Drosophila melanogaster: one gene and its partners. The protein of the gene in region 2 interacts with the protein of the main gene of each other region in a pairwise test. Each region holds a gene or a part of one and is shown on either strand. Other genes may lie near its edges.

Region 1 (4,609 bases), on a different chromosome or scaffold from region 2:
ACTGCCCTTTGGCCTGTGACTGGAAGTCAGACTCATAGTCAGACGTGTATTCGTTTGCATTCTGAAAGACTTTATATGAATTTGATTCGATATCCTAGGCATCTAGTGGGCGGCCACATTAAATTCAATCGGTGTAGCACACAAGTGATTGAAACATGTGTAAATTTTACTGTCAATAGTCTCAGACAATTTTCGTAACGCGCCGCTAAAATGCCCGAAAAACCATCAGCAAAGTCGGCTCCGAGGCCCCTGACCAGCATAAAGGGGACCAGGCCCTCCACATCCTCATCCAATCCCACCACCAGCAGGAGCAAACCCACAGGAACTGGAGTGGTTCGACCACCATTGCCAAATGCACACGATAGGGTAAGATTTTTTAGATTTTTTGCAAATGAGAATATAATCGATGAATTAATCACTACATCCTAATGTTTGGATTCGATTCGACTAATTGAATTACAAACACCTATGCATGAGTAATTGAATCCCCTCTTTTCATTATACGTTATAAAAATGGTGGCAACTGAATAACAATAACAATATCTTTATGAATAATTGCTTTTTCAATAATGAGAAATGTACAGCTGTTTTTAACTCAGCTATTTCGATAACAAGAAAGTTGAATATATTAACTGTTGAAAATTTTACAGATTTGGAAGATTATGAAGATGTAATAATATCTAAAAATATTCGGTAAGTTATTAAAATTTGAATAACTGTTGACTTATGATTTTATGATTTCAGGTCCCCAAATTGGATCCACGTTTTAAATCCTGATATTCTTTTTTTATAAAATGTACGGATTCTTTGACGTCTAAAGCGCTGAATAAAGCGAATAAATCCCAAAAGGGAAATTACTCTTATAATTTCTTGATAAGCTGACTGGAAGTTGGAATAAGCGCAGGCGCTTGTCCTCGCAGAGAAGAGAGTAGTGTTTGAGCTTGTTGGGAAATTTTCTCTTTAAGGGGTACTTTTCATCTCAGTTTGCCTGAAGCTGGCTTTGAGTCTTAAAAAAATATTTAAGTCAATAAGAGTGTTAACTGGTATTATTTTTACTATAAGGGGCTTATTAAAAACGTCAAGAAACTTGTCCGCTGTCCTTTTTATGGATACTTAAGACGTACAAAAAGTTGCTGAATAACTTTAGATAAATAGGATGGTTTTAAAATGATTAGTGGGTTCATAGCTTGAAGAAGGATAGTTCTTGGTCACATTGGTACCAGCAAAGATAAAAAAACGTCAATAATACAAACATTTGATAAACATAATGGAGATATTTCATTCGTAAATAAAACTGTAACTCAACTTATGGACAGTTCTCTATTTAAAATCATCCTGCAGGACGAGAATGTAAAATTGCTTGGGATAGGCCTACCTTGGCAGTTCCTTAAATGCAATTTAAACCAAAACAAACTCAAGCTGCCGATACACTCTCTTCGCCGAGCTCGTGCCATTTTTACTTTCATTCGGTAATTGAGTGAAAACGAGGTTGGTCCTCCGAGGGACCTCTTCGCGCGACGAGCGCAAAAGTCCCCGAGATGGAATCGACCGAGCCAAAGGATATTTTGGTGCTCGGCAGCGTTTTTGCCAATGCCGTGGCTCAGTTTCGTATTCGTGTCGGAACGTGGCGCTACGGTCTTCTGCTCAACGATACGCGAAAATCCAATCCGCTGGAGGAGCAAAACGCGGCGCGTGGAACCCACAAAACAAGCAAGCAAGCCAAACGAAAAAGGAAGCTAAAGCACAACTCATTCGGTCGAGTGTGCCTGTGTGAGAGTGTGTGAGTGCCGGAATATCTGTGTGAGTGGATCGGTCCTGTGTTGTTTGGGCCATTTAATTTTATTAGCGCTCCGCGATGCGTCATTAAAATTGCAGGCAAAACACAGAAATACAATGAATGAAAAATTAAATATTAATTAAAATTTGCATACGAATCGAGCGGCGAGCGCTGCGATTCCGCTGATTGAAATGTTAAATAGATATTAAAAATTGATGGTGTATTTCGGTCACATTTCGTTCGTCGGTCATTCTGCCGGAAAAGTCAGACTGAGCCGTGGCCCCTACAATTCATACATATACACACATCCTTACAATTATGTGTATTGGCATCTTGGCCATCGGGAGTGCGTGTATATGACTTTATTAAACTTGTAAGTCCCCAACTCGCGCGACCTTTTGCACATTGTTTGTGGACTTTGCGAGTGCTCCAGATTTGCCAACCATTTGTTGGTGCACTTATCGCGATTGCCGCACGGATTGCTTCACCTGCAACCTGCAACCTGCCACCTGCACCTGCCACCAACATTCTGCACCCTGCCGCGTCCTCGAAAAGTGCGTATGGAACTGCAAGTTAATTAAGTATTTGACTCTGCATATGACAAATCCCGGTTTAAGCGAAAAGCGACTTTAATTCGCAATTCGAAACGGGTTTCGTTAATGTTTATCGTCTTGTTCTCGATTAAATCGGCTGTCGCGGGCGTAATATATTCATGGAATCCTTCTGCGTGCTGCACTTAATAGCATTTAACTGGCAATTAATTGCCTTGAGCTCAGCCACCCACTGGTCAAGGAATCGATGTATTTGTTTCGTCAGCAGAACACCAATACATTTTTAATGTGTTATTATGGACATTTTTCAATTAAAATTCCCAAGCGAATAGGGTTATTAGCAAAACAAATGAATACAAATATTTCCGAAGCCCATTATACAATGGGAAATTGAAGACAAAGTTAAAAATTATATACATTCGTTAAAGGCATTTCCCGTATTCCTTTTTGAATAAAATTCGCTCGAACAAAGGAAAACTTCTCAGTGCCAAATCAAAATAAAAATGATAAAGCATTGTGCAGATTTGTACCAGCATTTGACCGAAATTTATGGCCGCCTCCTGCACAAAGTGGTTTAAGCCAGTTAGCCCGGCCATGAAAGCTGCTTACAACAAGCCAAAGAGTACGCCAAAAACCGGGCTCAGATAGGCCCAAGGACAGACAATCGGCAAGTGGGCTTATTTGCAAGGGCCGGGCTAAGCATTTTGGCCAGACAGCCGGCATCTGCACTTACCTATCTGCGGCAGCAGCACGTTTTATAATATTTATGCATGTCCCTGCCAACAGGAGATGTGCACTCATAGTTAGGGGGTTGAGGGTTTCGAGAAGCAGGGGGATTTCCGTGCCAGGACTTTAGGGGTTCATGAGCTGAAAAATAAACTCGACGGGTAGCGTGGATCTGGAGTGTGTGTAGAGGCACTCTGACATTTGCCAAAAGTAACACTCCACTCTCAAGTGGGCCAGGACATCCAATGGGATGCATATCCGAGTGGTAGGCGCATCCGAGAATTACATTTAAAATTATTTTACTTGGCAGGGGCTAGGGCAAACAAACCAACACAAACACAAGCACATCAACAAATACAAATACAGATACAGGAAAAACAGAAGCCGGGCAACAGATGCCTCAACAACAAAATTAACGAAATAAAAACAAGCCAAGAAAAACAAAACAAGTGCAGCCAGAGAAACACGCACAATACGTTTTTTTTTAGTGGATGTGGAATGGAATTAACCCATTTAGAAACTCGCTTCCACATTCGGGGGCATTTTCCTTACTTTTTCTGTAAGCATTATTTGCAACCTTTATTTGTTTTGGAAAAATGTACCAAATTTTATATTTATTACATAGTGAATGCAAATGTTGCTACTAATTTATGAAAGCACAATGCAAATGGGTGTTCTAAGCCTTAAACAGTTCTAGATGGTCTATTAATTTTCAAATTTCCGTTATAATGGAATAATATTTGCTTAAATGATGGCGATAGGTTTTCCCAGATCCTGAGTAAATAACGGGTTAACTGCGAATGGCTGGCAGAAAGCCGAACGAACATCTCGACGCCCACTTGGCTGCTTGGTCGTTTACACAAGCTCAACATTTCTGACAGTGGCACTCGCAAAACGAGGAACATGTGGAGCAGCTGTGGAAAAAGATTGATTCTTCGCTGCTCGGGAACGCAGAAAAAAGGACCAAGTGCCTAAGCAACAGCGAGCCCCTGGGTCCTTGACTTTTCCTTTGAACTATTGCAGTGGCCGAGACCGTTTGTTTTGCTTATTCCCCATTTGTTGCTTGCTTACAGCTGTCCGAATTTATTACGGCCAAAACAAATCGGTAAACTTTCTATGCCGACTTGCAGCAACTTTCACGTACTGAGGCTTTCCCTGTGCACTTGCTCCTGCCTTCGCATTCGTGTTGGCCTTTTGTCATAAAGCTTAACACATAAAAATGTTATTGTCCGATGTGGAGTTGTGTGGCTTATGCTGATTTGTGTTGACCTAGTGAGCTTCCAAGGCAACGGAAGAGAATCGGGCTCAGAATCGGAATGAAGTATGGACGTTTTATGATCGTAAGGCTGATTTAGGATTCCCAAGTGAAAGCTTTAAGGACTAGAAGCAAAAGCGATGCGAGTAGGACGCCGAAAGGCGTTGCATATCCGGGCACCAATTATTGGAATGCTCGTAAAATTCCGGCTTACATAGAGAAAATGTAGGAAAATGTGTCTGGTATAGCTCTACCTACAAATTTAAAGTAACTTATTCCATTCGGTTGGGTTTATGGAAT
Region 2 (4,861 bases):
AAACAAACAAAACATTGTATTTCATTCTCACTAGGTTATTTAACATAAATAAGTTCAAAACTTACATTAAATAATAATTTGAATAAATATCAAATGAGAAGAGCGTTTTATCTTGTATTCAATTTTGTGTGTGGACCCTTATTATTTATATGACTAATATGACTTATTAATTACTATTATGAAACAGTTGATTTATTTTATTTAAAGCCGATGAACGGAATTAGTTTTAGTAAAAGTTCATCATCCTTGAGTAGTTTGTTGAACTAATGAATTCGCAGACTAATTTGGATGGATATCGATTAATGTAAATTCGTCTACAATAAGTAGTAACAATTATAATACGGTACAAAAACAATTATAACCACAGAATCTATTTCCTATCTAATTAACAAGTTAATTGACGAAGCACCTGATGTTTGATATTGGCAAATATTGAGCATATAGTCACTAATTGGTGATCAAGTGAAATGGGCCTGAGGTATAAGTCGTGCACATAAAATATAGATAAACTCCCATTTAGGTGAGTGTGCCAACCAATTTGGAGGTCACAACAACGACCGTCCTAATGCTCGATGATGAGGTACAGTCGAGCCTGTGTATGTCAAACTTAAGCCGTATATGAAAATAGGATTTATGTGTTATTATAAACGAGTCTTCATAAGCCAGTCCATATCGAAGAGTTCAATATTGATGAAAGCCCAATGTCAATTTATAGAAGCTCCACTGTAGCTGCTGTGGGCACTGAGGAAGGGGAACTGACAGTGGGGCAGATGGCGGCCTGTAATATACTCCTGCCTCCATATCCTTGTGCCGCGTGCACTTGACATTGGCTTTCGAATCGGGTCTGTCGCGGCATTCATGCGCGGCGCACTGGCAGGGGGTTGGGGGTTCCGGGGGCGGAAGGTGCAGCTTTGCCCTGGTAATGGCATAATCGACCCCCTTTCTGGCCCCTTTTCGTTGCGGGGGCTGGCCACGTGCCGTTCTCATTCGGCCGTTTCTGGTTTTCCTGTTTTTCCTGCTGCTGCTGCACTTGCAACAGCAGCCAAAAAACCTTGACATTAAGCAGCGTCGTCGACGAGGCACAAAATCCTGCAATTGTGTGGAAATCGTCCTGCAAAAAAGGCGCTGTACTTGAGCTGTCCAAGCCACATATTTGTGCTTCGAAAAAACCGGGTTCCTTTAAATTGACATTATTACCAATTTTTGATTATTTTCACAGGCATAAAGCCAATATTAAAAATAAAAATCATTGCAATAACCCACTTCTAAACTTCAATACCAATATAGTTGGCTAGAAGAAATTACCTGTCTATATTATTACACATATTGATATATGTATATTTCAGATATATTTCTGATGAATACGACCATCTTAGACAATAGCAATTCGTTAAATATTTGATATCTATATCTTGTTCCTATGACAACTCAGATTAATTACTGGACGTATACGTTCATACTTATGCATATGTAAAGTTCGCAATAATCAATCAAAATGTGCTCCTAAATCGTTTGTGCGCCATCAATTAGTCGGCAGTTATTTTCGGTGACCCCGACATACGAGTGAGTGTAATTGAAATACATGGATGTTCGGTTGCCACAATTGCAATTGAATGCTACAGTTGTTGCTGTTGCCCTGACAAAAGCATAATAACAAAAACACAGATGTTCCGTCAGCAGGTTGCATTTCGAAGAGAGCAGCGGGAGAGGGAAACTCTCTCTTCTCGCGTCGTGCGCAGTGCGCAGGACGTGCAGCACGGCAACACTGGCCATGGAAGTGCGACAAATGTGTGCGGTGGAAGTCCGTTTGTTTATTCGCTTGCGGAACGCGTTTCTCGACGGTTGGTTCGGTCGCAAAGCGGAAGTGCTGGCGCAACGTGCAACATCCGGCGGCAAAGCAGCAAAATGCCAACACAATAAAATCAAAAAGGAACCTGTAAACACACACCTCCAAAGATATATAGTTAAATCATAAAAAAAAATTTACAAAATTATAAATATATAAAAAGTATAGCCGAAATTAGTGTGCGCTTGTTGATCAAATCAAGAATTAAAATAGTATATTGAAAATAATCAAAAATTGTCAAGTGCTTTTCGAAAGTATAAATATCTTAATTAAAACCGTGTTAGACCCCCATTTCGAAATCGATTACAAAGGGTCGAAAAGTTTGTGAAACCGATTCGTAAGTGCCCAAAGAAGTAAAACCCCCTCCGCCAACCTTTCACCTTTCTTTGTGTGCCACATTCTCCTTATGTGTGCCGGTGTGAGTGTTTATGTATGTTAATTAAATTACCGTTATGTGTGCTTACCACAGCAACACACTTACACACAAAAACCAGCTCTATCGCAGTAATTATAAAAAAAACAAAAGAAAAACAAGAATAATACAAAAAACAACAATTACAAAGGCCACTGAAAATCCATTTCCCATTTCCTTGGGCTCCCCCCCCCCGCATTTCCTCTCTACTTTCCCCACTCATCATCGCATGTTTTGCCCGCCCTGACACTTGGGGCATATTTCTGTGTTAACTGGGCTGTGCGTGTGTTTATTACTGCGACTACGGCCATTGGCACGTACATCGGACGGAGTACCCTCAATTCGACGCCCATGTCCTTGCCATGTGCCCTCCTCATACACGCCCCTGCTGGGCACTACTCACAGTTATTAAGCGTCTTATGGCAACTCTCAAAGCGGCCCATAAGTATGCTATAGTTTTTGCTATTCTGCTGAAGAGTTAACTCAGGAATACTTGGAGAAAATTGTAGTACATGAATACATTACATGATAAATATATAAAATAAAATATTTTCATAATCTTTTAAATGGGCAACAACAATAAATTCGCATAAAATAAACCACTATGAATTGTAATGTTCAAAATTTCTGTTGTACTGCAATAAAAAAGAGATTTTAGGTTTTAATGTATGGGCAACTTAATTCGGTACTGGCATTAACCTATCAAAGAGTGTGACGTTTCTCTTCGTGTAGGAGCAGCAGGTGCATTTCACTCAGAATTTCAGGTGATAGCAGTGAGCTTCTGACCAGAAATCAATAGAAAATCAAGCTTTACGCTTATGGATCTAGTTGGGGGTTAGTCAGTCGCCTGCTGCAGCCATATACATACGTCGTTATTGCCCTTTGTTACATTTACCATTTGAGCCACTTTTATGTTCGGCCCTTTGCACATCAAATTGATGATAAATTGCAAATTGCGACCATAAAATCCCCAGAGAGTTATTGAAAAATTTCAGCGAAGAGGTCGTAAGGAACCGATGAAAAGGTATAGCATTTCATATTTATGGTATTTCCTGCCAGCATTTCATTTCAATATTAGGAAAGCAATAGGTATAAAAATGCTCGTGTAGATTAATAAATGTTTTGGAGAAAACCTACCTTGAATGCGAGTACTTTTTTAATTGGCATTAATATTATAAAATACATATTTATTCAAAAGAAATTTATTTTTTCTTTGAGCTAAAGAATCGATCAGTGTGACAACTTATTTTACAAGTTGTTTAAGCTTATTAGTTAAGAAAACCCAATTTTATAGTTTGACAAATGACATTGGCCACCAAATTGCGATTTGCTGTACAGTTTTCCAGCCAGTTTCTTGCACTTTCAAATGTTTGATCTATGCAATCCATCGTTGCAGGGCAAGTTAGACTGAAAGCTTTTTGGAGTCATTATCCCGTATTTCAATTAAGGGCGAAAAAAATTCGCGCTCCACACATAGAACACCAAATTGTACGCTGGCGATGGTCTGGCTCAATTAAACGACAGCGAGTCCTTCGCTGGTCGGAGTTGAGAGGACGAATTCAGAGGATTTCCCGGTATAAGGGATACGGGTGGTGACATCTTCAAATGGCACATGCCCGTATGCAAATTGCGCCATAATCTCCACTGAGCGTTGGGCATTGAGTCGTCGCCTATTGATTATCAGTTTTGCATACTAATATGCCCAAGTTGGCAGTGCATTGAAATCGAGCCAAATAAAGTGACAAGCTCCGTGTCCCACTGTTTGTTTCTGCCCGTCCCTGTCGCTCCTATCGCCTCTTTCGTCCCTTTCGCACGTTTGCCATGGCAGCTGTCAGGGGGGGGGGGGGGTTCCCCTCGCTTGAATGTGTGCGATGTGTCCGGGCTTAAGTAGCTTTATGTGTCTGGATGTGTGAGTTTTGTGTGGTTATAACATTTTTTTTTGTTTTTCGCTTTTCTCGGTTTTCGATTTTCACCACGGTATTTCCACGAAAAGTTGTTTTTCCTTTCGATTCTGCTTTTTTGCTGGCATTTTTTGCTTAACCTTATCGAGTGAACTACAAAAACGAAGAAAAATAGTAACTACAAAATATTTAGATACAGTATAGGTGGTCATTTCTTCATATAGAAAATAGGGCTATTTTACATCTATCTGAACTTGAGTTTAAAGGATATTTTTCGAAAAAAAAAGCTATTTAAAGTTTCTTTCCCCTTACTTAATGTTTGTTGAGAAGTGTCGTCAACGGTGCCATTGTTTTATTATCACTCCGTAGTTCCCTTTTTTTTAGGTGGGTTCTATCACATTACGTATACGCATTTAGTTCCAATTTTTGCCTCTCGTTCCGTGGGCTTCGCTTTATTTTTATCGCCTTGCGTGTGTAAGCGAGTTTTGCTTGTGCCTTAGTGTGTTACTGTGTTTGCATTGCCAGTGGCGGCCTTTTTTTTGCTTCCGCTTTTCCTCGACTGTTTTCCACTTGCTTGTGTATTTCCGCTGTAGTCATAATGGGAAACAGCTGATAGTACACGCCCCCTCACATCGTCCCCTAATCGAGCCCTTTTCTCCAGGGACACAAACAGAGGGCGGAGCGGCCATAAAAGAGTTCTGT
Region 3 (3,616 bases), on a different chromosome or scaffold from region 2:
TCAGAGCGCAGGGATTACTATAAGATATTAGGCGTTAAGCGTAGCGCCAGCAAACAGGAGATTGTGAAGGCCTACAGGAAGGCGGCGCAAAAGTGGCATCCGGACAACTTCCGCGACGAGGAAAAGAAGGTGGCCGAGAAAAAGTTTATTGACATTGCCGCAGCCAAGGAGGTTCTCACGGATCCCGAGAAGCGTCGTCAATTCGACAACGGCGAGGATCCATTAGATCCTGAGAGCAATCAGCGTGGCGGCTTCCATGGCGAACATCCGTTTGGACACTTCCAACACGGGTCGCCGTTCCAGTTCAAGTTCCACTTCAATTAGTCAGCCAGCAGCCATTTGCTTTGTGATGTCCTAGCCGCGATCCCCGATATCCTTTAACGATTTTACACTGTTTTGTTCATTTAAATGGCGTGTAAATAGTAGCATAAAGCATAAATAAACCCATGGTCCGTTGTCAGAGAGTACCACAAACAAACACAAATCGCAACAAAACACACTGAGCACTTACATTTAATTAGTTTATTTAATACAATACAATAATTATAATGTAGTACATTTTTCTAATTATGTATAAAAAGAAACAATATGCGAGAACAAGCAATTAAAGACTTGGCAAATTGAGTTGAATATTTGTTAGTTTTGAACATGTTTGGAATTGAAGTAGTAGTCTTAAGGTGCAAAGTCGTCATAAATATTCCTTCGCTGTAGTCTGTGGTTGAAATGCGTGGAGTAACCAAAACCAAATGTATTCCGCGATATGAACGCTTCTCAGGCGTTGGGTGTCAATACCACGTACACCATGGTGGCCAGCATCACTGACACTACCAATATTAAGTAGAATTTGAGATTATATTTTTGATCCAATGACACCGCCAGTGCACGGAACTGCGCCATAGGCGAAACCTGATCGTGGTGTCTTACCAGAGGTTTTCTAGCCAGCGGCGAGAAGCGATTCTTTTGGAAATGGCTATTGATGGGTACTTCCTCGACTTCGGACTCGCTCTCCGTCTCCATGGGTTCGCCTGCGTCATTCGGCTGATCGTAGAATTCATTTAGTTGTGGATATAGAGTGTTTACTGCGGTGGTCGGCTGGAGCAGGCGACCACGGGCCAGATTGGATCCACTAACTGGAACACTCTGTCGCTGGCGAATGGGTGCTGGAGCTGGTGCTGGGCCACCAAAAGGCCTAGCGGATCCGCTGAAAGTGTTTCTTGGCGAAATGGGTGAAAGTTTTGGATTGTACGTAGATGACTCCTCGTAGCTGGTTGAGTTTAAGTTGGTTTGAGTCAGCAGGGGACGCGAAAAACCCAAATCTGTGGGTCTGTATGTCGAAGGTTCGATGCGTGGCTCGTATGTGGGAAGTGCGTGAAGAGTGGCGGCTGGCACATGGGGTCTTTCGTAGGTGTAGCTGCGTGGTATATCCTCCTGTTCGTACAGCGGCTGGTCAACTTCGCGTGTGTAAGATGTGGTCAAAACTCCGGATTTGGCTAGAGAAACATAACGTCTAGGCTGCTGGTCCTTGGAGTAATTAGGCACCGGAGAGTCCACCATGTAGGAGTCGTCGTCCTCCGACTGGGAGCTCATATCCGACACCGTGGTAGTAGTCTGCACAGATCTTCCCGAGATCGAGGTGTTGTCTAGTCCATAGGCGATTGTGCGACGACTTTGTTCGCTGATCTTGTTGTTGTTGCTGCTAGTGCGTCCTGCACTCTTGCCGGGCGTACGACGCACTGGCTCCGATGTGGGCGTCGTTACCTGGCTGCCGTGTACGGTCTCACGCCTCGGAATCGCTTTCTTACTTGCAGATTTGCTTTTGTTCAGCGGAACCCCGGTGATTTTGGCCTTTAGTCGGCGAATTATGACGCTGCGGGTGCTGTCCGTCACGGGAACACCGGGCAGGCCGTGCTCCAGGCACTTGGCCAGCAGCTCCTTGTTGCCCAACGTGTCCAGGTAAGAAAGGTCCGACATTATTTTCCGCCGTGGTGAAACTCAAAACACACAAAAATAGCAATGTCGTCACAATGTTGTCTATTAGTGATGGAACGGCAGCGATAGAATGTTCAATCTAAGTGCACGCCTATCGATTGCTGCTAAAGTAATGTTGTTTGACAAACTATAGCTAGATTTCATATGCTGGATGAGCTGTGCACGAAAGTAAAAACAATTTTTTAACATCAGACAGAAGAACAAACTACTTGAAGAAAAACTTAACTCGATATTTTATGTGCAATCGCCTCATGTGCAGTGTTATAAAATGCCTACAACTAAACATTTACAGCAGTGCTGCCAGACCTGGTTGGATACGCTTGCTATGGTTTATTTCAACTAACGCCCGACGGTCACACAGTTAGTTTTATGAAAATCGAACGCGCAACAGGTGTTCAATCGCAAACAAGACGCTCGAATTAAACGAATCGCCGCGCGGAAAGCGCTCGCCAAGCCAAAGAAAATCCCCAAGTCGCAGTGCGGAAAACTGAGGAGATATAGCATCGTAACATAAACAGTGGATTGTGGAAAAACAATCGTGAATCATTTGCACCTGTTTGGCGGCCAATATTTCTTCACCTTTTTGCTTTTCTGCGCCTGCGTGTGTGCCTCACTTCGCTTATTACACTTTTGTTTACCTCAATCGCGGGTGTTATTAAAGTTTTTGGCATCGATTTCGAGTAGCAAAGCAAGTGGCTGGAAACATTCGACAATTTGCTGGCTGCAATTGCAGCATATTTTCCATTTAGCCAAGCAAGAGCAAGGGAAACAAAAACAGCAACAACAGCAGCAGTAGAAGCAGCAGCATAAACATAAACCAAAAAACCGGTTAAAGCGGACAAGAGCGAGAAAGGCGCCCCAAAAAAGAGCAAGCGGGACAAAAACAAACACATAAAACGTGAAAAACAACAACGAATCAAAGTAGATATAAATACTAAACGAAAAAAAAAATATCCTCGTATTTGGGTTTTTGTTTTTTTGTTAAGCGCAAACAGAAAATAAGTGCGTTTGTTCTTTGTTTAAACGTGTTGACATCGTGTTTTCCCTGTAAAATTCCTTATCGGCCGATCGAATCGAAAGTGAACGAGTAATTGCCTTTCTGGTATTTGGTTTATTACATTTCGATATTGCTATTGCCCAAACTCAAACTCTGCGCGTGGCCTCCTTCTTATCGGCAGTCCAGTTCACCAGTCTACTCCACCAGAAGAACTACCTGTTGCCGCAACAATTAACACCAGGTGAGCAATAAAACCAACCCTTTTTACACTTCTGCAGCTTAGAATGCCCAATAGGACCGACCACCGGGTATTCTTTAAATATTGTTTACGTTGCACTTATAACGAATTCCAAGGAATGTACTCACAAAGAGCATTTGAACAATTGTATTCATGAAGATATATTTACTCATAATTAAGAATTCATCTAAAAAGAAGCATCGGGGGTTGCAAGGAAGAAATGGGGTTTCAAACTAAATGTTAATATCAGTGATTTAGGCACATACATATTTGGTGCTATTTTTGGAGTGGCTTGTACATGTGAATTTGCTGATTTCAAGTAGCTCCAAATGTTATTTATTGTTACCAATATAATTTGTGTTGGGCATTTCATTCTATTCAGTCGGTCATTG

The links. Proteins that work in one complex are often made in the same cells at the same time.
Region 1: the proteins of CG33144 (region 2) and side-III interact in a two-hybrid assay, tested with the Drosophila melanogaster proteins (one large-scale study listed by BioGRID).
Region 3: the proteins of CG33144 (region 2) and bocks interact in a two-hybrid assay, tested with the Drosophila melanogaster proteins (one large-scale study listed by BioGRID).

What each region holds. Positions count from the first base shown.
Region 1 is NT_033777.3:5,956,547-5,961,155, reverse strand, and holds the start of side-III (sidestep III), read left to right. Parts: upstream 1-1,600; 5' UTR 1,601-2,331; intron 2,332-4,609. Other genes in the region: CG11373 (uncharacterized protein), read left to right, coding at 211-366, 651-674.
Region 2 is NT_033778.4:10,795,662-10,800,522, reverse strand, and holds the start of CG33144 (uncharacterized protein), read left to right. Parts: upstream 1-1,813; 5' UTR 1,814-2,183; intron 2,184-4,861.
Region 3 is NT_033777.3:9,588,959-9,592,574, forward strand, and holds bocks (bocksbeutel), read right to left. Parts: upstream 2,045-3,616; 5' UTR 1,972-2,044; coding exon 772-1,971; 3' UTR 510-771; downstream 1-509. Other genes in the region: P58IPK, read left to right, coding at 1-324. UniProt on the Drosophila melanogaster protein: Inner nuclear membrane protein. May have a role in maintaining the structural integrity of the nuclear lamina. During pupal development, plays essential and redundant functions with the other LEM domain proteins; MAN1 and Ote.